Lepisosteus oculatus: one gene and its partners. The protein of the gene in region 2 interacts with the protein of the main gene of each other region in a pairwise test. Links are inferred from orthologs where the notes say so. Each region holds a gene or a part of one and is shown on either strand. Other genes may lie near its edges.

Region 1 (10,158 bases), on a different chromosome or scaffold from region 2:
TAGATATTTGGCTTAATATAAATACCCTCTAACTTTTCATAACTATATTTATCCCCCTAATATAGCAATAACTTAATTAGAATAACAATATCCTACACAGTGACAAAGTGGTAAGCATTACTGCCTTACAGTGCTGGGGCCCTAATTTCAATTCCAGATCTAGGGTGCTGTCTGCATGGTTTCCTCCCGCAGACCAAAGACATACTAGCAGGTAACTTGGCTTCTGGTGTGAGTGTGCGCTGTGATGATCTGGTATCCGGTCCAGACTGTATTCTGCCTTGCACCTGTTGCTTGCCGGGGCAGGCTCTGGCTCCCCCTCAACCCTGAACTGGATGAAGTGGTTAGAAAATGAGTGGATACCTAACCCAATCTTTGTGATTATATTGCACTTCACCGCATTCAAAACATTTTTGGCTGTGGAAGAGACCGAAGAAACCCAAGGTACATATCTTTGCCATTACCTGGGTATACATTTCCTTGAAGGGGTTCTTGCATGAAAAGAAATCCAGGTCAATATCCAGAATGTAAGCATCTGTTTGCTGGATAACTGGGAGGATTCGTTTCACGGGGTCTGTTTCCGAGTCCAGTTTGATTTTTGAAAGGCAGCTGGTAGAAGATCCTCTGCTGGGCTGTGCTATTTCTCCATGGCCACTGCTACTTGTGGTGGACTTGCTGCCCCCTGCTGGTTCCACACTCATGTCTGCAGGTGTCTTCTTTGCCAAGGACTCAACTTCATCCAGCCCACCCGAAGGCTGTAATTTAGGTCTTTTAGCAGCGCACTCCACGGTTTCCTCCTCTTGCTTCCAAGCATTTTCCACTGGGATAACTCTGACAACATGCAGCTGTAAAGGCTTCTTATTTTCTAGCTGATCTTCAGGGACATAGAGCCCATCGCTTAAAAAATAATCATCTTTACTCGTCACCCTGAGACACACAGAAAAAAAATGTGAAGGTTTCTTGTTATATTGTTCAGCAGAGGACGAGGTATGAGCCACTGCAACATGAAGAATGAACTTATCTCTCACTATATTGTGCATGCATCATCGTGATTAACAGGAAAAAGTGCTAAGAAAACCTGTGTCAAGATGAAGAGTAAGCTCAATGTTGCGCTAACAGTTGTTTAGAAATTATGTTATGGACCAGTAAGTGTACTGAGAAACCATGGAGCACAATCATGAGGCCGTGTAGCTGAATATGCATTTGAACGAGAAAATCTTGTGAGCCCATCATCTAAAATTGTTTTAAGGGTTTCCTCAGAAGATTATGGGACAAGCTCAAATACCAAATGAAAGAGCAACAAAAAACAGACTGACGAAAAGTAAAAAGTCAGGCAGAAAGAAAAACCTGGCATTATGAAAAACAAAGAGCGTTAGAGATAAAAAGGCAAATAAATAAAAAAAAGTAAAGTAATTTGTGATGTATGTCATGTCATTTGCCAAACCGCTTTTTATACCATATGTCCATTTTCCACATTTCCATTGAAAATAAACACTTACACATCCAGCCATTAACATGTGACATTTCGAGATGTATTATTGATGAACTAACTGGTTGAAACAGTGAATTCTAGCCATATTCTAATGTATTAGTAGCACAATGGTTATTGTACATTTAACCAGCAATCACATAGCCTACATAGCCGATATAAAACAATGCCAAATCAACATGTTGTACTATGAATTTACCTGATTGTTGTTGTAGAGGAATCCTTCCCAACCGACATATTGTGCTCCCCCTCTGTAATCTGTTGTGCCCAGGAAGGGTGAAGCCATAGGACATTAGATAAATGCCCTGCATACACCATGGGCATAATCCAATTCTCAATACTTAGCTCACTGGAAAGATATTAAAATATCAGATAATGTTTAAGACTAAAATTCAAGGGGACAGATTAATGGCTTTTTTCCCCTAAGAATTTATGCCTACTTATTACAGAGCTCCTCGGGTCGTGGCAAACATTACTGAACTACAGACTCCAGCAAACAAAATATATCAGGTATTATAACTCAGCTTTAAACGTTAAAAGCTTTGTGGAAAGAAAGTCATGAAATACAAAATACTTGAATGCACTTAATTCAATACCGTGAAACAAAAATGAAATTGTTATTTGAAATGAGTCATTGAAAAAAATCCGATATAGACCCCTTAGTCTTCTGCTACAGTCGCCAAGTTGTGGTAGCGATAGAAATAAAGTGGGAGAGTACTAAGAAAGCAGTGGCATTTAAAAAAAACAGCAAAGATTAGAAAGGAATGTCTTATTTTACTTTCTTGCTAGAATTCTTCGAACAGGTGATGAACATAGTAGAGAAGCCTTGATTTAAAAGGGTCAGGTAGAGGTTCATTCGCTGCTAAAAGGTAGGGAAAGAAAAACAACACTTGGTCTGTGGAGCCTTCTTCAGGTGTGAAGGAGGGAGAGAAAGTACAGTAGCAGATCAATATGGCATAGCAGGACAAAACAACAGAGTAGGTGAAAGGGACGGGGAGCAGTTGGGAAATGGGCATAAAGCAGGTGAGAATGAAACTAGAGGATAACAGGATGAGAGGTGTGGAAAGCCTAAATGATTAATTTAGTAGCAAACAGTACAAAATATTTAGATATCCAGAAAGATTTTATAAAGAGACTTATACAAATTCATGAACTACACAGACACAAGGCTAATTTCATTTAAAATTAATATTAATATGTGCAAGCAATTGACACTTCTTAAAAGGAACACACTATTTAACTTAATATTGCATGGGTGATTCGGTCCCACAGCAAGCTAAAAGCAGAGCGGCAGGGTGGCGCAGTGGTAAGCATGACTGCCTCGTAGTGCTTGGGGTCCTGAGTTCAATTTTGAACCTGGGGTGCTATCGGCATGGAGTTTGTATGTTCTGCACGTGTTTGCGTGGGTTCCCTCTGGGTGTGACAGTTTCCTTCCAAGGGCATACTGGTAGGTTAATTGGCATCCAGGAAAATTGGCCCTAGATGTGAGTGTGCGTCCTGCGATGGACTGGCACCCAGTCCAAGATGTACCCTCCTTTGAGCCTGCTGCTTGCTGGGATAGGTTCTGGCTCTATGGAAACCCTGAATTGGAAGAAGCTGTTAGAAATTGGATAATGGGACACATGGACAGACAATCAGTGTTCGGATCAGGAGAGAAGAGACAGCGAGAGACATATGTTCTTTTTTTTTTTCCTCGCACAGCTATCAAACCACAGGTAAGATGTTCATGAAAAAACAACCATCATGTTCATTATCATGTTTGTTCCTGCAATCCTTTCAGAATATCTGTGACCAATGAACACATCTTACCTAAACAGCTCTTCTTTGTCGAACACGGTGTCAGCAGGCATGTTGACAGGAATAAGCAGGTCGGGGTGGGAATCTAAATGGATCATTTTGATGTTCTTTATAGGTAAATGTCTGGAGCCAATGGCGCGATAGATGTGAGGTAGCACCTGTATTAGAATAAAGTGCAGAGATTGCAATTGCGGTTTGTAAAACGAGCAACGTGATCTGTCAACTGTCGGCTTTCCCATAATTGTACTTTGTTACAACAGTGTAGCATTAATAGTACTGTTTATTCTTCGGGAAAATAGCTGGTAATGTCCAAAATGTATTTTTTTATTCGCATTTTATTTTTGTGAGGGTCTTAAACTATAACTATATATATATATTACATGAATTTACCCGGAACACTTACAGGATTGATTAAACAAAACTGACCACAGTTCGCAGTGTATATACATGAGGCTATAAATAGCATAAATACATATTGATGACAATATTCCTCTTTGTACAGTCTTCGGTATTCATTATACTACAGGGTTAAGACTGTATTTTACAATCAACTATTGCTTTCAATTTGCAATTCGTATTCTGAAAGCTGGATATATTAAGGCTGTAAGCAGGGAAAGGAAACGCAGACAATTAGATTAAAAAAAAGTGAAACTGGTACTCACATCATGATGATCTTCCACTATCCAGACGGGGACATCTTTATAAACTCTACTTGGCGCTTGAGTGGAATTCATACCACCTCCTCAAAAAAAAGAAAAAAGAAAAAACAAACCACTTGCTCTCTGCCTGCCTGCAGTTTATTTTAGCCTTGTTGACGGGGGACCCGTCTCAGTGTAACACACGCCGTTTCCTAGCCGCGATTGGTGGAGCTGTCCCGTCTCTGCAAGCGATTGGGCCGAAGTCGTCCGTCTCGGTCTTTTGCGCCGCGATGAAACACGTTGCCTTCACTTATGCTTCCCCGGTTGTTTAAATCTTAAAACATCTTTCCAGTTTCCCTTGTCTCATGAAGGCAGCGGCTAGATTTATGCGTTGCTAGGAATACATGGTACAGAGTCGAGAAGCTAAAAAACTGAAAAGCTGTTGTTTTAAAGTGATTGCGTGTTACAAACCGGAATATGCCAGTCGTCGCATCCGCTCAGAGGAAAGGAAGGCGAGCCGATATCAACAGGGATCATTTCCTGTTGAGATTATGGTGCTGAGCTTGAAGCGGCGATACACATGTAAAATGTAGGGTAATGACCAAACTTTTTATCTTGCTAGCAACAATTCTTTTAGGTAAATCGTTTTAACTCTTCTTGGAGACTGGCGATCGTTGTCTTTTGTTCTAAACATTTTATCGTTAAAGGTAAGTTTCTGTAACATGCAGCTTTGAATTTCTTTATACCGTTGTATGCTTTGGTAAAAAAAAAACGTAAAAAACGTGCAAGCGATAGGCTAGTTTGTCTCGGTTATATTAAGAACTGAACAGGCTACAATATCTCAGGCTACAATAATGTTTTTCCCCCCATGTTGTCAATTTGAACGAATTTATGTTATTTACCTATACAAGTCAGATGGTGCAGTCACGAAACACACAGCATTGTTGACGGTATTTTTATTTTATATATAAAAAAATCTTGCTCATAATTATTTATGGCGCTTTTAAACAGCAAATCATACTGATACACAACGATGCCGGACATCGGTAGCAGTCCCACACTTTAAATGGGCACGATGAAATACGTCAATATAGAAATCCAGCATCAACTTTTATTCTTTTTTTGCGTCGTATTTAACATACAGTATGCACTTCAGCCATTTAAACTTATAGACCACTTCATTGAAATATTTGATTGATTCGATGTTTAACCTTTTTTTTCGCATTTTGGCTAGAGACTCACATACGGGCAGCCTTTTGTGTGTCGTTTCCATGAATTACAGTGATACCATCACATCTTTGATGCCATACAGGATGTAGACTTAAATATGATCAGCTTTATGCCTGCCATTTCCACGAAATACAGTGATCAAAACTCCGTTTTAACTTGGTTTAAAACTGTTGCTCTCCCGTTGCTTTCTAAACAGCTCTTATTGTTTGTCAGTTAACAATGCGCAGACAGAATTGGGAATGATACTGTCAAGCACTCTGATTAAAAAAAAAAAAGAGGCATTCCTATTGCTGCGTAGGTCTGTTCATTAGGTTTAACCAAATAATTGAAAATACATTAGTGTGTGGGGAATCGAAACAGATTTGGGCACCAGTTTCATTCTTATTTCTAACAGTGTTCAGTCTAAAAATAAAGATGATCTTTTATTTCACACTGCTTTATAGACTTATCCTCTATATATTCTCTATATATCTACATGAAGATCTCAACATTTTGGTCTAGTTAGCAGTTTTTATGTATAACTAGTGCAGTGCAGTCCATCATAGAATCTTTTTGTTGAATTGCGTTTGTTGAAACCTTTTATTGTTGACTTTCTTGACTGCTGTTACTACCATTAGTGAGATGTAATGCTTGTTGTTTTTGTGTTGTTTTTGCCTCTCTTTAAGAATCAAGATGTCATTCCATCTTGGGCGCGGCTGTCCCAGGGGACGAGTCTCCTCCGGTCAGCGGGGGGGATCGCAGAGCTACCGGCCGCAGAACCTGCGCCAGATTCCTCCGCAGCAGTCCATGCCTTCCTTCCATTACGAGCCGCCGCCGCCGCCTTCGTGCCCCGGATATCCCAGTCAGGGCAGCCCTGGCTACATACCTCCGCGTCCCGATTTCATGCCGTACCCCCCGCCGGTGCCCTCCCAGGGTCAGAGTGCGCTGAACCAGTGCCCGGTTCGCCCCCCCTTCCCCAACCCCCCGATTCGGCAGGGGTTTCCCGGACCCCCGAACTTCCCCCCTCCACCCCTGCCGAACTCGTCCGCCAGCCTGTTGCCCGGACCGGCGGCCTCAGCTCAAGGCTCCTACCACTACATGATGCCCTCGGTGCCGCCGCTGCCGCCGCCCCCGCCCCTGCCGCCCCCACACCCCCCTGCGCCCCCCTCCATGTCGCAGCCCCTGGGCTACCAGCCTCCCTACTCCATGAGCTACCCCCAGCCCCCGTTCCCGCCGCCCGGCTTCGGCGGCGGCGCGGGCTACGGCCCGGGCTCCGGCTCGTTCAAGGCCGACCAGTTCCGGCACGGCGGCCAGTACAAGCCGGAGAAGCCCCAGAGCGACCGGAGGTCGCCGGAGAGGAGCAGGCGGCACGAGGAGCGCCGGCACAGGGGCTACAGCTACGGCGGCCACGGCGACAGGTACAGGCCGGAATACGGCGGGGACCGTAGGGACCGGGGGCGGAGCCCGGACAGGCGGAGGCAGGAAGGGAGCCGCCACAGGTCCGAGCATGAGCGAGGCAGGACGCCGCCTCGGCACAGGAGTCGGGAACGTAGCAGGTAAGTTGAGCTCGACTGGCACGTGCACATCGTCGACGCATGGATATCCTTTAAATGCGCACACTGAAATGCATCAGTGTTGAAACCCAGGGCCCGCTTTTATTCATTTTATGTATCGGATTTAAAATATAGCATGCACGAGCTAAAATGTGACCCAGACCTATAGGGTTGTGTAATGTAAGTGTCTTTCATTGTTTCATAACGAGCTAAGAGGTCCCCTGTCTCTTCTAATTCTAGACTTCTTATAGGACACTTGATGTTTTGAACAAGTACTTGTACTTGATGTATAGAATATGTGATGTTTCTCTTTCCTGCGATTTTCTCCAACACATCCATCAGAATAGATTGTTATAGTGTAATATATCTGTAATAGATTGAGTTGTAATTGTTCAAGTTCTTATAAACTGCCTTGGTAGAAAAGATGTGATCCCTCCTCTCCAGGATTCAGATATGAAGGGCTTACAAGTAATATTTATTAAGTATCACTTATTTTGCAAGTGATGCATGTCCTGATCATGCCAAATAGGGGAATGTGCAATCAGAATTTCAGTATTTCAGGATTTTGATTGCTTTCACCACAATTTCAAAGTCACAAATTTCCTTCCTTTTATTTAAGTCCAAAAAAGGTAAATCCTTCATTTCTTTCTGACCACATTCTAATGGACTACTAAATGTAGTCAGGCTTTTTAAGACTACTGGTATTGAATGACTTCCGTATACTGCATCTTCTCTAAATAACATAGTTGTACTGCAGTACAGTGCCAGATAATTTCCATGGTTGATATCTTTATTAAGCACTTTTCTCAGAGCTCTTGTACTGCCCTGCCGGAAGAGCGTTATCCAACTCTGCAGGAAAGCAACCTCTGGGGTGGTGCTTGACAGCACTTTTGTGAACACAGCTGAAGCTGACTTGATTTATGTAATTTGTCTCCTTTTAATTTTAAAATGTTTTTTTAGAAACAAAAATCTTCATCATGTACAGTTAAACAAATGAGAATGTATTATTAATACATCCCCAAACAAACAAAATACAGTGGGAAAATTAATACTGTGTTTGCTGATGGGTTATTTCACACTCTTCTCACTACGTGGGACATTATAGAGATTAGGAAGAGATTTTGAGATTATCACAATGATTGTGTTGTTTTAATTAGACAGTCAAATATGCATTTCAGAAAATAATACAACTCTGTGTTTAATTTTAGGGATAGGCATCGGCACAGAGAAAGCAGGAGATCACCTTCTACTGAAAGGCCACACAGGAAAGACTACAAGAGGCCCAGGAGGTGGTATTGTGGTTTTAAACTCACTGTTGTCTACATTCTCTTTATCTATGTCAGTATTAACAATGTGCCACAAGGTGTTGGCTTTTCAAAATCCAAGTTTTAAAACCGTTCGCTAGATGTTCTTTTTTTCCACTATTTGCATCATTACAGGAAAGGAGGGAAGATTGATTCACATTCCAAATATGATTCATATCATATTCATTCCAGATATGATTTAACCCAAATAAAGAGAATTGTTTTAATGAGGAATGATATTCAATATTATAGAGTCGCCTGGGGTGAAAAAATCCAATTAAAAAATAAGAATTGTCTTAAATCCTTTTAGGACAATGTTGATTTTCCTCCCAGGAAAATGAAAGAGATTCAAGAAAGACTCTTGAGAAAGCAAAAGAGATAACTCAGAACTGCAGATTGTTTGATGTTAAAGTTCCAGTTTTGGCTTATAAAGGAGTGAACCACAAGTATTTGTTTGATTCACTGTTTCTCGGATCATCCCGAATTTTATTTTGTGATAATTGGTGCCATAGCTCACGGAGTCGCTCTAGCAGTCGGGACAGGAAGAGAATGCGCTGGGAAGACGACAGAGAGAGGAGGATGGATAGTCAGGCAGGTAACAGAGAGAGGAGCTACTCCTTTATGAAGAGCAAAGAGCCGGAAGAGACTCCTGCCGAGAGAATGGAAGATGAAAAAGAGGAGGAGGAGCTTCTCAAGCCTGCCTGGATTCGTTGCACTCATGCTGAGAACTACTACTCCAATGATCCAATGGACCAGGTGGTATGTATGACACCAGCTGGCATCAAAGCAGACCCGAGATTCTCGGAAGGGCTCCTGCTTCGATTATTCTATATAAAATCATCCGAAGTTCAACTTGTCAAAGCGTTACGTTTAAGGAACATAGGTAATGAAATGCAGTTAGGTTGTTTCTGGAGTGGCAAGGCAAAATACTCCAGGCAAAACTGTTCCAACTTCACCTCACTTATATGGGTGAAACTTATGTGAAATTTGTATCCTACTTAATGGATTAAGACCGAGCTCTCCAGATGTTTTCATGCCCCTGATGAAATGGGAAGAAAAAAACATGTAACAGAGCAGGTGCATCAAAGAACTTGTGACTTTGATGTGGTTTGAGTTAAGAGCTGCATCAGTGTGCGACCAACAGAGGAACAAATAGAGGTTAGTTCCACGCTGACAAGTAGATAAACACAGTGTTATGGCTTTTGAGCCTTCTTCTGGTGTGGGCTTGACATCTTTGCAGCAGTTAAGCAAATGTAACAGACAGACAAAAACATATTTTTTGCAGACTATCCAGTTGCGAGAAGATTGGTGGTGTGTTTAGTTTCTTGTTTTTTTTTTATTAAGCAGGTATGTTTTTCTTAATTGCTTCTAGATTCTAGTAGTAAATTAGACTTGTGTTTGTGCTAGAGGTCACTAGGAAGCAGAGATGACAGTTATATGTTTACATTTTTTAATAATTTAAAATTACCTTCCTCAATTAAACTTTTTGGCAAATAATCAAATAATATTACAAATGCAGTATTTGAGTAATTATTCTTGTAGACATGCATTTCTAAGCCTGGAAGAGGTCTTGAGACTTAATTGGATATGTTTAACCCTGCTGCACTGGATTACAACTGCTACCCATTGAATGCGACCTACAAAACCTTTTGAATGATTCTCCTTAAGAATTTGGGGAACCATCTTAAAATAAAACAGCAGACCATTTCTTATTCTCCTGAAGCATAAATATATGCCAGGAACACTAAATCAATGAGCAATTCAGCAATTCATTTTTTAGATTCGTCAGGCCCAGAGCACAATTTGTTTTTCAACAGGGTGACTCCACTGTCGTTGGAACAAGCAAACTACGTGATCTCTATGACCGGTTTGAGGAAGAACTGGTTAAGAGACAAGAGCGTGCAAAGGCAGCAAGACCTGAATGGGAACCACCAAAAACAAAACTGGATGAAGATCTAGGTACTGTATAATATTGGCAAAAATCCAAATTACGTAAAGAAGCTGGTTAGATTTCGCCAAACTTTGTAATTTGAATGAAAAATAATGGTATTTTGCAGTAATGTTTCTATGGTTTTGAAAATGCTTTATGACTTTGCTGTGTAATTAACGGAGAAGTATATCAAAGAAGCATTTGATTTTCCTCTGGCCTCTTTTGGTTTAACATAATCATT
Region 2 (10,462 bases):
GGGGTTAATACACACACTCCTCCTGCACACTACTGTACACTGACACTGCACTGAGAGAGAGAGGGGTTAATACACACACTCCTCCTGCACACTACTGTACACTGACACTGCACTGAGAGAGAGAGAGGGGTTAATACACAGTAATTCAATTCAATTCAAGGTGCTTTATTAGCCTGAGCGATGGGTACAATCAGTGTTGCCAAAGCAAGTAGCACAGTACCTGTCTCGGGGTCGTAGGCTGTGCTGTCCTCCTCCCTCCTGTAGGCGGCCGGGGGCAGGACCCCTCCCCTCCGCGAGTACAGCTGCACCAGGTGGGGCGGGGGCTGCCCGGGGGGCGGGCCGGGGGGCTTGCGTCCGGGAGGCAGGCGCGGGACGCCCTGTATGGACGTGGGGGTCGACAGCGACACAAAGCCCTTCCTAGGAGACGAGGAGACAGGTTAACGCGCACGCACGCCTCCCCGCGGCAAGCCCACGCGCCCGCGGCCACACTGACCCGTACGCCGAGGTCTTCTTCAGGATGGAGGGCGGCTGGGCTCCCGGCAGCGGGATGTCCTGGATCAGGATGCTGGAGGGGGCATGAGGCATGTCCGGCAGAGGAATACTGTCCACCTCCACCAGCTCGGCATTCTGGGACAGAGACAGGAGCAGCAGGGGACGTGAGCGTGAGGAACGTGGTCGTGTCTCCTGTTGTCCAGTGTCAGTAATGGACACAGTCCAGCACAGGCAGCTGGCCCTGCTCCGAGACACACACAGTCCAGTACAGACAGCTGGCCCTGCTCCGAGACACACAGTCCAGTACAGACAGCTGGCCCCGCTCCGAGACACACACAGTCCAGTACAGACAGCTGGCCCCGCTCCGAGACACACAGTCCAGTACAGACAGCTGGCCCCGCTCCGAGACACACACAGTCCAGTACAGACAGCTGGCCCCGCTCCGAGACACACACAGTCCAGTACAGACAGCTGGCCCCGCTCCGAGACACACACAGTCCAGTACAGACAGCTGGCCCTGCTCCGAGAGACACACACAGTCCAGTACAGACAGCTGGCCCTGCTCCGAGACACACACAGTCCAGTACAGACAGCTGGCCCTGCTCCGAGACACACACAGTCCAGTACAGACAGCTGGCCCTGCTCCGAGACACACACAGTCCAGTACAGACAGCTGGCCCTGCTCCGAGACACACACAGTCCAGTACAGACAGCTGGCCCTGCTCCGAGACACACACAGGCCAGTACAGACAGCTGACCCCGCTCCGAGAGAGACACACACAGTCCAGTACAGACAGCTGGCCCTGCTCCGAGACACACACAGTCCAGTACAGACAGCTGGCCCTGCTCCGAGACACACAGTCCAGTACAGACAGCTGGCCCCGCTCCGAGACACACACAGGCCAGTACAGACAGCTGGCCCCGCTCCGAGACACACACAGTCCAGCACAGGCAGCTGGCCCTGCTCCGAGACACACACAGTCCAGTACAGACAGCTGGCCCTGCTCCGAGACACACAGTCCAGTACAGACAGCTGGCCCCGCTCCGAGACACACACAGGCCAGTACAGACAGCTGGCCCCGCTCCGAGAGAGACACACACAGTCCAGTACAGACAGCTGGCCCTGCTCCGAGACACACACAGTCCAGTACAGACAGCTGGCCCCGCTCCGAGACACACACAGTCCAGTACAGACAGCTGGCCCCGCTCCGAGACACACACAGTCCAGTACAGACAGCTGGCCCCGCTCCGAGACACACACAGTCCAGTACAGACAGCTGGCCCCGCTCCGAGACACACACAGTCCAGTACAGACAGCTGGCCCTGCTCCGAGACACACAGACCTTGACAGAGTCGAAGTAGAGAGACAGCTGGCCCCGCTTGGTCTCGTACTCGTGCTCCAGGCGGCGCAGCTCGCGGTACGTGTCCGGGTTCTCCTTCTCGTACAGGCGCACGATCCGCTCAAAGGTCTCGCGCAGCTTCTTCCTCTTGTCCCGCAGAACCTTCTCGTTCAGCAGCGGCACCTGGACCGGGTTAAACTCTGAGAGAGACGGACCGGGTCACACACGGAAACAGAGACCGGGTCTCTCTCTCACACAGAAAGATCAGGTCAGGCAGAGAGAGTGAAGGCACTCAGGCCATTCTACACGATAAGAAGGCTCTTCAATATTAACCCAACAACAAGAATCTGGCTCCAGTATTTCAAAGGGTAACCCAGCCCATTGCCCTATACTGCAGTGAAGTGTGGGGTCCCCTAACAACAGGTACAGGGCCGAATAAGGCCAGTACCCACTATTGATAAACACAGAAAAGAATATTAAAGTATTGGCGACACCTAAGAAACAGCGACCAAAACTTCTACTCCTATTCAGTCTGTGATCTCCTGTCCCAGCCTGAGGAACAGACAGTGAGCCTGTCTCTCAATAATAATAATACAGTGTGTGATCTCCTGTCCCAGCCTGAGGAACAGACAGTGAGCCCGCCTCTCAATAATAATAATACAGTGTGTGATCTTCTGTCCCAGCCTGAGGAACAGACAGTGAGTCTGTCTCTCAATAATAATAATACAGTGTGTGATCTCCTGTCACAGCCTGAGGAACAGACAGTGAGCCTGTCTCTCAATAATAATTGTGTGTGTGATCTCCTGTCCCAGCCTGAGGAAAAGACAGTGAGCCTGTCTCTCAATAATAATAATACAGTGTGTGATCTCCTGTCCCAGCCTGAGGAACAGACAGTGAGCCTGTCTCTCAATAATAATACAGTGTGTGATCTCATGTCGCAGCCTGAGGAACAGACAGTGAGCCTGTCTCTCAATAATAATAATACAGTGTGTGATCTGTCCCAGCCTGAGGAACAGATAGCGAGCCTGTCTCTCAGTAATAAATAATAATAATAATAATAATACAGTGTGTGACACAAGAGACTGTCAGGCAGTTAGTGATTAACTAGGACTAGTTAATTAACACATCATTACCCATCTCATCCAGTTTCTCCATGTCTCTGATGATCTGTCTGGGGTCCTTCATTTTCAGCACTGCTGCTCGGACCATCATCCTCTGCTTCTTGTTCTGGAGAGAGGAGAGGAGAGGGGTTCACAGAGGCAAGGAGAGAGAGAGACAGACAGGAGAGAATGGCAGACACTCCAGACAGTCTCACCTTTTTCAGCTCCCTCTTCCGGGCCTCCTTCCCTGCAGAGGACAGGAAGGGACAGTGTCAGATAAGCCAGAGTGTCCAGTTCGCATCCCAGCCCCATTGATACCAGTGTAATGCCAGCATAACGCTATTACAGTGGACACAGCTGTACTCACGGGCCTGGTCAGTGGACAGTATAACGTTATTACAGTGGACACAGCTGTACTCACGGGCCTGGTCAGTGGACAGTATAACGTTATTACAGTGGACACAGCTGTACTCACGAGCCTGGTCAGTGGACAGTATAACGTTATTACAGTGGACACAGCTGTACTCAAGGGCCTGGTCAGTGGACAGTATAACGTTATTACAGTGGACACAGCTGTACTCAAGGGCCTGGTCAGTGGACAGTATAACATTATTACAGTGGACACAGCTGTACTCAAGGGCCTGGTCAGTGGACAGTATAACATTATTACAGTGGACACAGCTGTACTCAAGGGCCTGGTCAGTGGACAGTATAACGTTATTACAGTGGACACAGCTGTACTCAAGGGCCTGGTCAGCGGACAGTATAATGTTATTACAGTGGACACAGCTGTACTCAAGGGCCTGGTCAGTGGACAGTATAATGTTATTACAGTGGACAGGAGCTGTACTCACGAGCCTGGTCAGTGGGGTTCATGAATTTCCCACTCTTGGTGGAGGACGTCGATCTTCGCCCCATGGTGGCGCTGTCTCCCTCTCACCCTGAAACACAGAGAAGGGCAGTCAGCTCTTGAGGACCTGGAGACGCTCCAACAGACACAGACACTCCCAGACCATCACAGACCCCCAAACCTGCTGCAGGAAAGCCCCTCAAGCCCGTGTGTGGACACAAGACGACCTGCCTGTCTTCCAGTGTCCTTGCTTCACGCTACAGGCGCTCTCGTGCGGGATCAGTGTGGTCTGGCAGCAGGGGTGATCAGGCCAGCCCAGTCCATCACTGGGGTACAGCTCCCCACTGCTGTGGACATGTTTACACCTCGCGGTCTCAGGAAGGCGGGGAGTAATGCTAAGGACACCAGCCTTCCCTCTGGTGAGAGTTATAGGAGCAGAGAGGCACGAATCCCCGGGTCCGGAGACAGTTTCTTCCCACAGGCTGCCAGACTCCTGAACTCTGCCCCTACCACTGCCTCACACTGCCTGTGCCGTGTGTTGCCGTGTGTTGTTGCTGCTGCTGTTGCAACGTTTTAACTGCTGCTGCTGCTGTTTCAACGTTTGGCGTTTCCTTAACGTCTCTGCACTGGCGCACACATGCAGAGAAGCACTGCCCTGCACTTGTGAAAAAGATGGATAAACCGGACTGAGAGCCGAGGACGGAGAAGCACACGCACGGTCTAGAGACCGGAGACACTGACCCAGACGCGAACACGGATCCAGAGGCAGACCTTGCTTCTTCCAGAGCACCGGCCGTTCCGTGAAGCCAAGATCCGGTAATCACCGGGAGCGGGTTTTGAGCCCCGGGTCCCTTATCAAACACTCGCGCGCTGTGTTTACTGCCTGGATTCAAATGAGCCCTTAGCGCTACCGGCCGCCATCTTCGCCCGCCATCGCCGGAAAATACGTCACGTCCGCGCTTCCTGAGGCCGTGTACCCTCATCATGTGACAGGGGCCTCCCTCGTTTTCAATTTCAGCTTTCTTGATTAAGATTAAGATCACCTTATTGGCCATATATAATTTCTTGCATTAGGAATTTGTCTTTTCACAAAGCTCAGCCTGCTCTCCATGAGACACACAGACAGGGAGAGAAGCTGGGGGTCAGAGCGCAGGGTCAGCCATTTATACAGCACCCCTGGAGCAGTGGGGGTTAAGGGCCTTGCTCAGGGGCCAACGGAGCAGGATTCCTCTGCCGGTTGCGGGATTTGAACCGGCAACCTTCCGGTCACAGGCACAGATCCTTAGCCACAGAGCACCACCCCAAAAGAACTGCTCCAGGTGAGGCACAAACTCACAACCTTGCATTGCTCTGCTCTGTGCTGTTATATCAGTATTGCATGCTAACCGATGGCTCTCCCTATTCTCCATCATAATCGTGTGCGTGGGTATAAACACACCCCAGACCCTTGACTCTTTTCTACCCCTTTTCTGAGTTTTTATGTATTGCAGCTGTCTCTGCAATAAACAGAGCTGTGTTCAGAATCCAGCGTATTGACGACTGACTGGGATTTGATTGGGACTGGGGTGAAGACAGGGGTTGTATTGTATGCATGGCTGTGGGCTGTACACACATCACAGAGGGAGATCTCACGAAGCCAGATTACTCAGTCTGCAGGGCATTACTGCCGCTGAGATTTAGAGATGGCCTTTCACCGTTTCAGCAGAGTAAACCTTACATTCACGATCTCTTAAACCCGCACACTGTTAATACTGCTTGTTGCAGCTCAGTGTGAGCAGAAACTCAAACTGCTGGTCGGGCTGAGCACAGCGCTTCAGTATATCACAGTGTGCCCTGCAGTGAGGAAAGTGGTGTTTGCACTGAAACGGTTCAGAAGGTTTCCTGGCTGTACATTAGTGCAAATCATCAAGCGGGGGTTTCATGAACTAGCTGGTAATGTTCTCATATCTAATTCTGTCCACTGCGAATGTAGTTCTGTTCTCTGTAGCTCTGCACTGTGATCTAAACATTTCTTACAGCAATTTCCTGATGTAATACACTCTCTGGACTGTGCAGACAACCTCATTAAATACTCCACAGGGCACAACTAGGCTGATTTTTAATAGGAAATCAATTCACACCATCTGAAAATAAAATTAGAGCCTACAACATATAGACATTTCTACCTGGCTTAAGACTTTCTGCATCCGGGTGGGGGGGACTCCCACCTGTGCTACTTAATTCACAACAATGTTGGGAAAAGGAAATATCCCGGTACCGGAAAACAGCCTTTATTGAGTTGATGATGGTGATGATTCCTCCGGCTCCAGTCTTACTCTCCTGTTGCTCAAATCAGGACACACTTCCACTCCGAGGAGGGCGCCGCACTGTACAGGAGCCCTGCGGCCCCCCCCCAACAGCCCAGCGAGCGGAAACACATCCAGACAATAGTGTACAAGTGTGAAGCCCTCCAGCCTCAGGCAGAGCCCCACGTCAGTGCCATCCTCCTGCCAGCACCTGCCTGCGTTTATCTGGACACCTGTCACCTCCGGGTTGGATTGATCTGCGATTCCTTGCCAGGCGTCTTCTCTGGCTCCTGCAGAGCTCCAGGGTGCCGTAGCTCCACTCTATCCCAGCGCTTCCTTCAGGAGCTGTAGCTCCTGGTCCCGCATGCAGACTGTTGCTGTCGCCTGAACCCTCTAACTGGACTGTAACCGGATAACTGAAGCCTGAGTTCACCTGAACGCAGCTGTAAGGTGAAGTCTACCGGGATGATTTGAGAAATCCTGAATTAGTTAAACCTGCTTTATGAATGTATTTACCCAGATATATACTCACACACAACTTACCCTGACACACATGTACACACACATACACCCAGATCTATACACACACAGCCTGACACACATGTACACCCAGATATATATACACACACACAACTTACCCTGACACACATATACACACACATACACCCAGATATACACACACACACCTACCCTGACACACATATACACCCAGATATACACACACACACCTACCCTGACACACATATACACCCAGATATACACACACACACCTACCCTGACACACATATACACCCAGATATACACACACACCTACCCTGACACACATATACACCCAGATATATACACACACACACTTACCCTGACACACATATACACCCAGATATATATATATACACACACAGCCTGACACACATATACACACACATACACCCAGATATATAAACACACAGCCTGACACACACACACACAGCCTGACACACATATACACACACATACACCCAGATATATACACACACCTCCTGACACACACAGACCCACATACACACCTCCTGACACACACAGACCCAGATACACACCTCCTGACACACACATAGACCCAGATACACACCTCCTGACACACACAGACCCAGATACACACCTCCTGACACACACATAGACCCAGATACACACCTCCTGACACACACAGACCCAGATACACACATCTCCTGACACACACAGACCCACATACACACACCTCCTGACACACACAGACCCAGATACACACACCTCCTGACACACACAGACCCACATACACACACCTCCTGACACACACACGCCCAGATACGCACACCTCCTGACACACACATACACTCACCCTGACAATCATACACACCTCCTGACACACACACAGACCCAGATACACACACACCTCCTGACACACACAGACCCAGATACACACCTCCTGACACACACACGCCCAGATACACACCTCCTGACACACACAGACCCACAAACATACACCTCCTGACACACACATACACTCACCCTGACAATCATACACACCTCCTGACACACACATAGACCCAGATACGCACACCTCCTGACACACACATAGACCCAGATACACACACCTCCTGACACACACACACACGCACGGCTGACAGACACAGGGAGAGAGAGGTGCTCTGGAAGTGTTTATTTCGGCTTGCTTGGAGCCCGGCGGCGCACAGCAGGATGTTCAGGCGGCGCGGCGCGGCCCGGTCACGTGACACGGCAGGTCACACGAGACGTCAACACGCAGTCGGCAGACCCGAGTCGGAATCTTATACTCCGGATCCCATTCCTAACTGCTTCAGCTTATACCAACTGGACTAACATAAACATACTGTAGAAATACTATACATCCAGAAAAAAACTTTCCTGGAAGAAGAGGCACTTATGTATAAATTCTTCTCTTTAACAGGAGGACTTTCGCGTTTGTTCAGATACAGTTTGTCGGTTCATAGGCAGATGTTCTTCACGTGTGGCCCCGCTCCAGTCTTGAAAGGGTTAATTCTCACTGATGGGCGTGGCTTCACCAGGACTGGGCGGGGCTACGTCCTCTTGGGGGCGTGGTCTAGTAGGGGATTGGTCCGTAGTACTGGGTGTAGGCGGCGACGATTCCGGCGGTCTCGGCCATGTGCTCACAGGCCAGGTTGACTTCACACACCTCCCGCAGGCTGGAGAGAGAGGGAGACGAGTAGATGATGCACACTCGGCCCACCCGGGCCTGTCCCCTCCCCCTGCCCCCCTCAGGCGAGCACACGGCCCCTCACCTCTCCAGCTGCTGCAGCGACAGTCCGGCGCCGCCAGCGCCCCCTGCGGCACCCCCTGCAGCCCCGATGTTCCTCTTCAGTCTCTTGACGAAGGAGGAGGCCAGGTCTCTCTTCACAAACACTTCTGCAACACGGCAAGAACATGCCAGGTCACACAGAACCTGCCTCACTGCGCTGTTCCCTCTAAAATATAATCAGGGCTCCCACTGACACACCCTGGCTCCTCCCCTCCTCCCACTGACACACCCTGGCTCCTCCCCTCCTCCCACTGACACACCCTGACTCCTCCCTCTCCCTCCCTCTCTGACACACCCTGACTCCTCCCCTTCCCCCTTTGAAACACCCCGACTCCTCCCTCTCTCCCTTCTGACACACCCTGACTCCTCCCTCTCTCCCTTCTGACACACCCTGACTCCTCCCTCTCCTTCCCTCTCTGACACACCCTGACTCCTCCCATGTCTGCTGAGCCCAGTGGGCGGGAGAGGCAGGAGGACCCCAGCATGTAGGAGGATTCTCACCTTCTGTGCTATGAGAATCCGGGGCGCTGACAGAGACATCGGAGTCTGGAATTTAAAGATAGGATCAGAAAGTTCAGCCTCAAGAGTCTGTACATGTGTGTGTGCAGTTTATCCAGTAAAAGTCTCGACGGACATAAGATGAACAAGCACACAGACAGGTACACAGACAGGTGGACAGACTCACCTCCAGCGGACAGACTCACAGACAGACAGGCAGGCACACCGACAGATACACAGAAACACAGACAGACTCACCTCCACTGGACTGACACACAGACATATAAACACAAACACACAGACTCACCTCCAGTGGATAGACACACAGACAGATAGACACACAGACAGACAAACACACCTCCAGTGGACAGACACACAGACAGACTCACCTCCAGTGGACAGACACAAAGACATATAGACACAGACAGACAGACACATGGACAGATAGACTCACCTCCAGTGGACAGACACACAGACAGACAGACAGACTCACCTCCAGTGGACAGACACAAAGACATTTAGACACAGACAGACAGACACATGGACAGATAGACAGACAGACAGATAGACTCACCTCCAGTGGACAGACAGACAGACAGACAGACAGACTCACATCCAGTGGACAGACACACAGACAGACAGACAGACTCACCCCCAGTGGACAGACACACAGACAGACAGACAGACAGACTCACCCCCAGTGGACAGACACACAGACAGACAGATAGACTCACCTCCAGTGGACAGACACACAGACAGACAGACAGACAGACAGACAGACTCACCCCCAGTGGACAGACACACAGACAGACAGACAGACAGACAGACAGACTCACCTCCAGTGGACAGACACACAGACAGACAGACAGACAGATAGACTCACCCCCAGTGGACAGACACACAGACAGACAGATAGACTCACCTCCAGTGGACAGACACACAGACACACAGACAGACACACAGACAGACAGATAGACTCACCTCCAGTGGACAGACACACAGACAGATAGACAGACAGACATACAGATAGACTCACCTCCAGTGGACAGACACACAGACAGACAGACAGACTCACCCCCAGTGGACAGACACACAGCTGTCAGGGCACACAGCACGAGGACGGTCAGGGTCTTCATCTTGTCTTGCTGTTTCAGTGAGGTGAACAGTGTGGTTGTCTCTTCCTGCCACCCTGTTTATAGCTCTGTTCCCAGCCCGCCTTGGGGGACACGCTGCCTGCGGATTGGCCGGCAGCTGCGACACCCCTGGACACAGCCCGGACACGCCCTCTCCCTCCTCCTCACCGCGGACAAGGCAGCTGTCGTTCCGGGCGCGGCCGCCAGATGGCGGTGTGCCCCGGCTGCGCGGGCGATGCGCACTCGTCTGCGGCTCGTGAACCCGCTGACCGCGCGCGGCGGCCCCCCTCCTCCCCGGGCCAGCGTGTCGCCCTCAGCAGCGTGTCTGTGGGTCTCGAGGAACGGAGCTTCTCTGAGTGACACCAGCTGTGCTGCAGAGCCGTACTGTTTAGAAAAGTAAATCACACCCTGACATTTCTGATCCGCACTACTGTATAATTCACTGCTACAGGG
Region 3 (10,135 bases), about 880 kb from region 2:
CGCTGCCCTGTGTGTGCATGTGTTGCAGGAGAAGGGTTTCGTGACGGCCTACCAGTACAGTGAGAAGAGGAAGCAGGTGTTCCACATCAGCACCGGCAGCGCGGAGTTTGAGTTAAGAGCGGAGTGGGGTCACCCCTCGCGCCCCCACACTCTCACAGGCATCCCCTTGCTCCCCGCTTTCCAGCCTCTGCGTTCATTTCGGTTTTTCATCAGCAGCAGGGAGTGAGAGGTCTTCCCATTGTAGTTGTATTTAATTCAAGCACAGAACAGGGGAAAAGAGGTGTACATGCTGTACAGATCCTATGCCAGATCGCTTTTTCCATTTTAATGTGTAATTATTTCAAACTGCGCCCCCTACCCTGCACTTACCCTGCCTGTGCAAATCCTGTGCAGAGCGGAGTGCTGTGCTATCCATGGTGTCCAGCCAGCCTTGTACAGACTGGAGCTCTGGACTGACCAGAGCCCTGTACTGACCAGAGCCCTGTGTGGACCGGAGCTCTGTACTGACCAGAGCTTGTACAGACCGGAGCTCTGTACTGACCAGAGCTTGTACAGACCGGAGCTCTGTACTGACCAGAGCCCTGTGCGGACCGGAGCTCTGTACTGACCAGAGCCCTGTGCGGACCGGAGCTCTGTACTGACCAGAGCCCTGTGCGGACCGGAGCTCTGTACTGACCAGAGCCCTGTGCGCACCGGAGCTCCATACAGGAACCGACAGGAACGCGTCGGTCTTGTCCTCTCACTGCCCTCCTCTCTCTGTCCTTGCAGCAAGCTGCTGGGGGGAGGGATAGAGAGCATGGCCATCACTGAGGCCTTCGGGGGTGAGTCGGCCGGCGGGCTCCCTGGGGTCCATACCGCGCAGTCGGGGCTCAGACTGCACCGCAGAAGGTCATCCAGCCAGACTGTACAGCTCTCGCACTCTACCTGCTGCCTGCCATGATATGTTGCCTTTATGATTGATGTCCAGAGCTTTAATGCTGTGAAACAGCCATGGCCTGAAGATATAATACAGTGAAAGAAGCTGTAATGTTGTAACTGAGCCCAGAATACAGTGACTGAGCCAGGAATACAGTGATAGATGTTATAATACAGTGAACTGAGCCACAGCTGAACATGATTTATGCAAAACAAGACAGTGTTAAGCCGTAGTGCTGTAAGAGAAGGTGAATTATGTGAAATAGCTGTTGAAGCTGTGATACACAGATGTACAGTATGATGATACAGTGACGGGCCCCAGCGCCCTTTACTCTGTATCCGGTTGGAGTTTCCCTTGTTGGATTGTGTTTTTACAGAATTCCGGACGGGAAAGACGCAGCTCTCCCACACTCTGTGCGGTGAGTACTGTCGCTGCAGGAGTGGTCAAGGAGGGATAAACTCCTTTCATCTACACGCCTACATGAGGGCAGTCGTGATCCGTGTTAAAATGTAAAAAACTCCTTTGAACCACAAGGGGTTTTTCCATTTCAATCGAGAACTGAAAATCAATCTGGGTATTGTAATAATATTGAAATTCGATTGTTTTTTAGTCTTTCGTGTGGCTGGAATCTGTTTTTTTTGTAAAGATGTTTCTGTTTGTGACGATAAAAACGGAAGAAATGTTACAAAGCGGCCGTGTTCGGTGCCGCGTCGCGCCGCGCTCTGAGTCTTTCCCGTCACTGTCGTCTGCGCTCGGACTCGTTCCCGCAGTGACGGCGCAGCTCCCGGGAGAGGACGGATACTCCGGAGGGAAAGTCATCTTCATCGACACGGAGAACACCTTGTATCCTTCCGGGCTCCTGCCAGCCCTGACCGCGAGGGCGAGTTCTGGGGTACTGTGTGCGGTTCTGGTCGGCGTGTCACGGGTGGCTCAGTCGTTAGCATCGCTGCCGCACAGTACTGGGGCCCTGGGTTCGGTTCTGGAGGAGTTCTGTCTGTGAGGAGTTCTCCCTGTGTTCACGGTGGTGTCCAGCAGGTGCTCTGGTTTCCTTCCAGAGTCCAAAGACATCTTAATAGGTTAATTGACTATTGGGAAAACTGGCCCTGGTGTGTGTGTGTGTCCTGTGATGGGCAGGCGTTCAGGGTGTGGCCCGCCTGGCGTGTGTTTCCCAGTCCTGTCCTGGGAGTGTCGTGTGTTTCCCAGTCCTGTCCGGGAACAGCCTTGCCTGTTGAGCTCCTTAGCCCGAGGGCGCTGCCAGCCGGCCAGACAGACTGAGGGACATCGCCGACAGGTTCAATGTGGACCACGACGCCGTGCTGGACAACGTGCTGTACGCTCGGGCCTACACCAGTAAGGGCCGTCCCAGAGCCTGGGTCTAGACGATAACTTTTTAACTCTTAACCCACGCACACCTGGGGCTGTCACGCTGACCTGTTTTAGGCTCAGATGTAGCAGCATTGTCTTGTAAAAAAGTGCACTTCCAGTCGTTCGCCTTCAGGGTGCAGAATAACAGCAGACAGCAGATCGCTTTCTGGCGCCAGTTAGCCCTGGTGACTGAGGGCCCAGCGGGAACGCAGGGGTACCCCGGGTCCAGGACCGGGCTGCGTTTCGGGGGGCCGGCGAGTGTCTTGACGTGTGCCCCCCGTTCACAGGTGAGCACCAGATGGAGCTGCTGGACTTCGTGGCGGCCAAGTTCCACGAGGAGGGCGGCGTCTTCAAGCTGCTGGTGAGACGACCTGCCCCCTCCCTCTCGCCCCTTTCACGAAATCCCTTTTATTTTTAACCTGAAGCCTTCAAACCTTCGTGTCTGAGGAGCGGGGCTCTTCGGGGCTGGAAGACGCCGCCGCGGGGCGGGGCGAGGTCCGTGTGTCCCCTGGTCGCGGCTCTCGCTCGTTTGCTCTCTCTCCCCCCGCAGATCGTGGACTCCATCATGGCGCTGTTCCGGGTGGACTTCTCCGGCCGCGGCGAGCTGGCCGAGAGGCAGCAGAAGCTGGCGCAGATGCTCTCCCGGCTCCAGAAGATCTCCGAAGGTGCGCCCCTCGCTCGCCCGCGCTCGGGGAACCCGGGGCCTGAACCTGCGTTTAATCTATCGTGTTTGCTCTGTGTCAGAGTACAACGTGGCCGTGTTCGTGACCAATCAGATGACGGCGGACCCCGGCGCCGGCATGACGTGAGTAGACTGGAGAGGGACGCTGTCTCACCCGGCTGAGTCACTGGAGTCCTGCAGGAGGTCCCCGAGTGAGCGTGGGACGGGCAGGGCAGGGGGACTCTTCCCACTCACCCCTGTGCCTCTGACTCGTGTGACTCGCGGCCGCCGCTCTGATTGGGGGGCTGCTGTGTCCGTCTCAGGTTCCAGGCAGATCCGAAGAAGCCGATTGGCGGGCACATCCTGGCGCACGCCTCCACGACGCGCATCAGCCTCAGGAAGGGGAGGGGCGAGATGCGCATCGCTAAGATCTACGACAGGTACGACGAGGCAGCGTGCCGGGACAGCGCAGGAAAATACCGGTGCAGGGGTCCCCAGTCCCAGTCCTGGGGGGACAGTGTGTCTACAGCAGGGGTCCCCAGTCCCAGTCCTGGGGGGACAGTGTGTCTACAGCAGGGCTCCCCAGTCCCAGTCCTGGGGGGGCAGTGTGTCTACACCAGGGGTCCCCAGTCCCAGTCCTGGGGGAGCTAGTGTGTCTACACCAGGGGTCCCCAGTCCCAGTTCTGGGGGGACAGTGTGTCTACACCAGGGGTCCCCAGTCCCAGTTCTGGGGAGACAGTGTGTCTACACCAGGGGTCCCCAGTCCCGGTCCTGGGGGGACAGTGTGTCTACACCAGGGGTCCCCAGTCTTGCTCCTGGGGGGACAGTGTGTCTACACCAGGGGTCCCCAGTCTTGCTCCTGGGGGAGCAGTGTGTCTACACCAGGGGTCCCCAGTCTTGCTCCTGGGGGAGCAGTGTGTCTACACCAGGGGTCCCCAGTCCCAGTTCTGGGGGGACAGTGTGTCTACACCAGGGGTCCCCAGTCTTGCTCCTGGGGGGGACAGTGCGTCAACACCAGGGGTCCCCAGTCCCGGTCCTGGGGGGACTGCAGATTTTCAGTTCAGCTGGGCTGGTAACAGCACAAAGCAGCTTGTTATCAGCTTGATTGGACCCATTAAACAGCTCCTCACAGCTCTTCAGGAAACCCAGGAGACACACTGGCCAGCCGGGACTGGGGACCCCCGCACTACACCAACACACGGGAACCCCACCCCCCTCCCCGAATTCCACAGGCCCCCCGCGGCTTCGAAAACGTCGCTGTCGCTAATCTCTCCTCGGCCGCCGGCGGTCCCAGAGCCGGGCAGTAACGGGCGCTCTCCCGTCTCGTTCCCTAGCCCCGATTTGCCAGAGAACGAGGCCACGTTCTCCATCACTCCGGGCGGGGTGGCAGACGCCAAGGAGTGAAGGAGCCACTGGGAGGGAGAGGAAGGAGGAGGGGGGCGCAGGGGGACCCCCATCCCGAGGGCTGTCAGTGGAGTGACGAGACAGACGCTGTTCCCTGTGTTCGTGGGCACCAGCGAGCCCTCGCTTCCGAAGCCTGATTGATCTGTGTGTTTCTGAAGCGCAGATTGTTCGCCAGGAGAATAAAATGGTTTATACCGTCGGTGCACCTGTGTTCAGTGGAGGGACAGACAGGGGACGGGATGTCATCTGTTTTTATTATTTCGACAGGGAGGAAAACTTGTTCCCTTTTGGTGCCGTTTGTGAAATAACTCCCTGTCTCTGCCGTTCTGAACTAATTCGGTATGGAAGCTGTTGAGGGCAGAGAACACATTAACTGTTGCCTACACAGCGGGTCTAATCATTGAACTGTGGGGCTCTGATATCCCTCACCCGGGTCCAAAGAGTCTTACAGCTACGTGCACCTGTAGAAAGCTGCACGTTTTGAGTTACCAACTGTGAAAGAAACATCCCATGTGTGTCTTAAGTGAGGAAATAATTACGTTAATTGTTAAACTGGCTGCTCAGGTCGGACCGCAAACCAACCTGGGACTGTGTGGTGGCTCTGTGGCTCAGGATCTGCCGTTGCCGGTTCAAATCCCACGGCCGGCAGAGGAATCCTACTCTGTTGGGCCCCCGAGCAAGGCCCTCAACCCCAGCTGCTCCAGGGGTGCTGTATAAATGGCTGACCCTGCGCTCTGACCCCCAGCTTCTCTCCCCGTCTGTGTGTCTCATGGAGAGCAAGCTGGGGTCTGCGAAAATTCGTAATCCACAAGACAAATTCCTAATCCAAGAAATTGTACATGGCTAATAAAGTGATCTGATCTGATCTTCTCTTAAACCAGAAGACACACCTCAGCTTCTAAGCCCATGGGTTGGTCAACCTCTGTAAATCTCTACTCCTGCTAATCCTCAAGTCTCTAAGTGATCTTCAGCACCCGGGTTAATTAAGAGAAGGGGCTGTCAATAGAGAAGGTCCAAAGTCTAGCGCCCCGTCTCTGCAGCGAGGGGGGGCGATCACGTGGCCGGCTGCGCAAACGGCGTCGCGGCCCCCCGGCGCGCACGCAGAGGCCCCGCCTCTCCGACGGGCGCCCCCCCGTATTCCAGAACCTTCTCTACGCCCACTGCGCGACGTAGCTGCGGCGCGCTCCCGCGGCCCTGCGCACGCACCGCTGTTTTTCTGTCCGCCATTTTGTCCTGTGTCGGCAGGCAGCTTTCGCAGAGCCGGGGGGAGATCAAGCCAACTTTACGCGGTTATCGCAAAAAAAAAAATCCAAAAACAAAACATCCACCCATACTCGTTATCTAGCGTTTTTTTTGTCTAGAGAAAGAAAAAAACGTTACTTTTTTTCTTTAAACGCAAAACACGGTTTCGTTTCGGGCTGTTCGTAAACGAGACGGGCAGGCCGAGGGTGCCTTCGTGTTTTGAAGACACAAAACTCGCTGTTTATATAGAGCTGATATATATTTTCCACACCGCCTTTCGGTATTCGGCTCTTCAACGGATTTAAACCCCCGGTTTCGGGAATTGGAGGCGACGGTAGTTTTCCCGGTGGCGGCTGTTGAAGACCCAGCCCGACGCTCGCCGGAGCAGAGGCGCCCTTGTTGTTGTTGTTGTTGTGTTGGTTTGTGTGGAAGATGAGGGGCGGTTCGTCATACGGAGACAGAGACCGGGACCGTGGAAGGGACCGAGGGTGAGAAAAACCTCCATTTCTTCTCGTGTGGGGTGTCTTAGCGGCCTGTATTCGCTGGAAACGCCGGGGCTGGTTGGTCTCTGTGGGGAGACGGCCCGTGGGGGGGTCCTGCGTGTTAGTGGGGGGTGGTGGTGGTGGTGTTGCCAAACGCGAGTTGCGTGATCTCGGTGGGAGTGAGCGTAAAATTGTTTTTTAAAGGTGGGAAACCATTTCTGAACTAAAAAAAACTGGATTATGTAACCAGGCTTGGAAAGACACATCACCCCCCCGCTGTCTGCGGCCGACCAGGAGACCAGGCTAAATCTACCGCATTAAAAAAACAACAACATTGCTTTATCTTTTTTTTACTGAAATGTGTCGCACAGTGATGGTAAGACGTCCCTGTCGATTTAGTTTTTTTTTTTTAAAAAAAACAAAAATATCGACCATAACGCTTTATTTTTAGCTTGGTTGTGCTGAACCTCAGACGCTCTCGAAAAGCGAGACGCTGGTATGGCAGCTAGTATAAGTGAACTCGCAAACCTTTCTGTGCCCCGTGTGTGTGTGTGTTAAAACCCCACCTCGGGTCTGTTCGTGTTCGGAGAACCCGGTTCTGGGGGGTTAGGAGCGCGCCGGGCTGTTTCTCTCCGGCGCCCGCTTCCTAAACTCTCTGCCTGTCCCCCCCTCACCCCCAGGCCTCGGTTCGGGTCCAGCCGGGGCGGGCCCCCTCCCACCAAGAAGTTCGGGAACCCCGGGGAGCGCCTGAGGAAGAAGAAGTGGGACCTGGAGGAGCTGCCCAAGTTCGAGAAGAACTTCTACACCGAGCACCCGGAGGTGGCGCGCCTGACCCAGGTGCGGCGGCGCGCCCGCTTCCGTGAACGCGCAGGGCCGCGGTCCCGGGGCACGCTGGTGTCCCGGGGGTGCTGCTGGGGGGGCTCTTCGCTTTCATGAGCAGGGCAAAGGCCAGTTCCACGCCGAAACGCGCTTGGAGTGTGGAGCCCTCTTCAGGCGACGCCCGAGCCTGAAAACGTTGTCCTCTTTCTGATTTTCAGTGTGGGACTCATCAGTACTTGTTCCTTGTGCTGCCAGCATGTACTGATGCAGCTCCCTGCTTGAGTCTCCTTGTCTTAATCTCGTCGCCAAAGTGGTATTTTAACGTGAAAGCTTCAGCAGGCATTTTGCCTTATTGGTGAGCCAACTGCAGCGAAATAGCGGAGCATAAAAATTTCCCAGCCCTGGTCCCTGCGATTCCCCTCTTCGATGCCTTTGCCTTAAATGTCAATTCGATTAATTAGGTCTTCGAAATTTTGTTTTCGGGGTCCCGGAAAGTTTTGAGGTTTAATCTGCTCGTAGGTCATTTGAAATGGTTGTTTGTTCAGGAGCATTAAGTGATTAAGAGTGACCCCAGTTCACGAGGGATTAGGGTTAAGAAGCTGAGACTGGGAGCCATCGGTGCCAAAACCGAGATTGTAGCAGTTATGGAGCCCTGATGCAGGGTGAGCTGTTGCAGCATTTCTGAGCAGCACGTGGCAGCTCACACCTTGAGTGTAGGAGCTCGCTCTGCTTTTATTTCAGTGCCGTGTTGCACCGGGTGGGCCTGAGCCCAAGTCAAGGGGTATTTTTCCCTCAGCAGCAGATAAGTGAGAAAACACACCCACAAGCAATACAACACAGACATGGGCAGGAGAATCACCAGCTGAGCAGGGTGTACATGAAGGCTGAAAGCTGTTTGTTTTCGGATTGTGTCTGCGTTCTGAGGGGGGTAAATGAAATTGGTTCAAGGGTTTGAAGGGTCCTCTTGGGTCGGATGTGCTTCATGCTAGACTCCTGACTTAGACATGGGACTGGGCTGAGAGAACAGAACCTGTCTGACAAAACTCCCCAGTTTGTCCTCCCTCCTCAGAGTCGTATTCCCAAACCAGCAGACGAGGGTAAAAATTAGAGCAGTTTCAATAAAAGGCTGATGATTTGTGGATGGTCATGTTATATCCACCTTAAATTGTTTTAAGTGTAAGAGGGGCTGGTGCTCCTGGAGGTGATCCGTCTCCCACGAAGAGCAAGTCCGCTGCGGCATGACCATCCCGCTAATCTCCCCTTCCCCCCCCCTCTGTCCCCCCCGCAGTTTGACGTGGACGAGTTTCGCCGGAAGAAGGAGATCACGATTCGGGGCACTGGGTGCCCCAAGCCCGTCACCAGCTTCCACCAGGCGCAGTTCCCCCGTGAGTATCGTCACCACCGTCGCGTTCAAGCGGTTCGAAACTGCTGTAGCTTAGGACGCCGTCTCTTACTTCCAAAGTAAAACTCAAGTGGCTCGTGGTCGTAAATACGTGGGTGGTATTCGGGTGCCTTTGGCACCGGCCCTCCCAGCCTCTTTCAGCACGTGGCTTTTGATGCAGCCAGTCGCCAAAGTGTGTAATCGATTTGAATTAGCTGTTTAACGGAGTTGACTCCTTGAGTTGACGGGCTGTCGGACAGCAGTGCAGTAGCCTCACGCCTCCCTCGCTCCCCCACAGAGTACGTGATAGACGTGCTGGTGCAGCAGAACTTCGTGGAGCCCACGGCCATCCAGGCGCAGGGCTTCCCCCTGGCGCTGAGCGGCAGAGACATGGTGGGCATCGCCCAGACCGGCTCTGGCAAAACCCTGTCGGTAAGACTCCTCCCCCTGCGTCCCCGCGCCCTGCCCCGCGGTTGGCTGGAGCTCGGAGCTCCGCAGAGCAGCGGGGCTCGCCTTGGGGCTTGTTGATGTGTTGGCCGGTGGCGAGGCGCTCGGAGCTCATACTTCAGTGCCCTTTGTTTCTGTGTTTGTCCTGCAGTACCTGCTGCCCGCGATCGTGCACATCAACCACCAGCCCTACCTGGAGCGCGGCGACGGCCCCATTGTAAGTCACAGCGCCCGGGGTGTCTGTTCGTGGCCGTGCTATGCGCCGTGTCACGTGCGCGGCTTCTCAGACGTGTTAAGGGATGGAAGGGAAGAGGTCACACCAAATGTAAACATGAGGTACAAGGAGTGGCTGTAGTTGGCCTGCCTGAGTTGTGTCCCTGAGTGTTGGTCTGACAGTCTGCCCCTGTCCCCACACTGCAGGACTCATGTCACGTCTGCCCTCTCTGTGCTGGCTTTAATGGGGCGCTGCAGTCCCAATGTTTCAAACCAGTTATTTAGTCTCAGTAACAGGTTTGTTGACGCTATAGAAGAAGTTTACAAACTTTGAATTGAGCACAAAATCGCGATGAACTTGATGAAAGGACTGTAAGTTACCACGTTGTTACAAACCCGCATTTGAGTTCCCTGTGCAGCAGACTTTTCACCGCAGAGATGTTCCAGCGCGATCTGCAGGCAGAGATAACAAGTAAATGGTTTTTGTGGGCAAAACCGTCAAGAAGTCCAGAGGGATATTTCTGTTGGATGAAAAGAGACGTATTCGCAGGCCTGCGTGTTTACAATATCGTAGGGCGGCTTGACCTCGCCGGATGTTTTGTTGCCTTGCTCTGAATCGCAGACAACGATAGCAATATGGGAATACCTGGGAATGTAGTCTGTTACGTGATGCCAATTCGCGGTCTTGCATTGCTGTTTACATTTTACCGCCGTCGTGGTTTTGAAGCGCACTCGCCTGCGCTGCTTCGTTCTGGCTCCGGAGTATGAAAGCAGCCTGCGGTTCCCCTTTCACCTTCCTCCCTCTTCCCCGGGCAGTGTCTGGTCCTGGCCCCGACCCGGGAGCTGGCGCAGCAGGTCCAGCAGGTGGCGTTCGACTACGGCAAGTCCTCCCGCATCAAGAGCACCTGCATCTACGGGGGGGCCCCCAAGGGCCCGCAGATCAGGGACCTGGAGAGAGGTAGGGGCTGCCGCGCCCACGTGTGGCGTCCGTCTTCCTCCTCCTGCGGGCTTCCAGCCATGGCCCCTAGCCGCGTAACTGTGGCACGGCCCTGCTTCCTCCTCGCTTTGTCAATAATGCGGACGCGTCTCTCTCCTCCCTTCCGCACCCCCCCCCCCCCACCCCCCCCCGCAGGCGTGGAGATCTGCATCGCCACGCCGGGCCGCCTGATCGACTTCCTGGAGGTCGGGAAGACCAACCTGCGGCG

Evidence for each region.
Region 1: the proteins of wbp11 (region 2) and c6h5orf22 interact in binary tests that used the Homo sapiens proteins (3 or more experiments, as listed by UniProt). The two-hybrid records come from large-scale screens. The link is inferred for Lepisosteus oculatus from reciprocal best matches to the Homo sapiens genes WBP11 and C5orf22.
Region 3: the proteins of wbp11 (region 2) and ddx17 interact in a two-hybrid assay, tested with the Homo sapiens proteins (3 studies listed by BioGRID and IntAct). The link is inferred for Lepisosteus oculatus from reciprocal best matches to the Homo sapiens genes WBP11 and DDX17.

The regions. Positions count from the first base shown.
Region 1 is NC_090701.1:6,468,237-6,478,394, forward strand, and holds the start of c6h5orf22 (UPF0489 protein C5orf22 homolog), read right to left. Parts: upstream 4,200-10,158; 5' UTR 4,018-4,199; coding exon 3,946-4,017; intron 3,442-3,945; coding exon 3,296-3,441; intron 1,836-3,295; coding exon 1,686-1,835; intron 925-1,685; coding exon 462-924; intron 1-461. Other genes in the region: drosha (ribonuclease 3), read left to right, coding at 5,824-6,686, 7,892-7,972, 8,500-8,746, 9,805-9,946.
Region 2 is NC_090707.1:39,512,013-39,522,474, forward strand, and holds the start of wbp11 (WW domain-binding protein 11), read right to left. Parts: upstream 4,740-10,462; 5' UTR 4,524-4,739; intron 3,874-4,523; 5' UTR 3,851-3,873; coding exon 3,787-3,850; intron 3,180-3,786; coding exon 3,148-3,179; intron 3,060-3,147; coding exon 2,966-3,059; intron 2,033-2,965; coding exon 1,836-2,032; intron 628-1,835; coding exon 494-627; intron 418-493; coding exon 221-417; intron 1-220. Other genes in the region: bglap (osteocalcin), read right to left, coding at 8,163-8,265, 8,362-8,485, 8,880-8,924, 9,952-10,012. UniProt on the Homo sapiens protein: Activates pre-mRNA splicing. May inhibit PP1 phosphatase activity.
Region 3 is NC_090707.1:38,634,750-38,644,884, forward strand, and holds the start of ddx17 (probable ATP-dependent RNA helicase DDX17), read left to right. Parts: upstream 1-5,558; 5' UTR 5,559-6,020; coding exon 6,021-6,076; intron 6,077-6,750; coding exon 6,751-6,907; intron 6,908-8,177; coding exon 8,178-8,274; intron 8,275-8,568; coding exon 8,569-8,702; intron 8,703-8,868; coding exon 8,869-8,934; intron 8,935-9,746; coding exon 9,747-9,888; intron 9,889-10,062; coding exon 10,063-10,135. Other genes in the region: dmc1 (meiotic recombination protein DMC1/LIM15 homolog), read left to right, coding at 29-111, 769-821, 1,293-1,334, 1,687-1,759, 2,175-2,266, 2,569-2,642, 2,832-2,946, 3,026-3,086 and 2 more. UniProt on the Homo sapiens protein: As an RNA helicase, unwinds RNA and alters RNA structures through ATP binding and hydrolysis.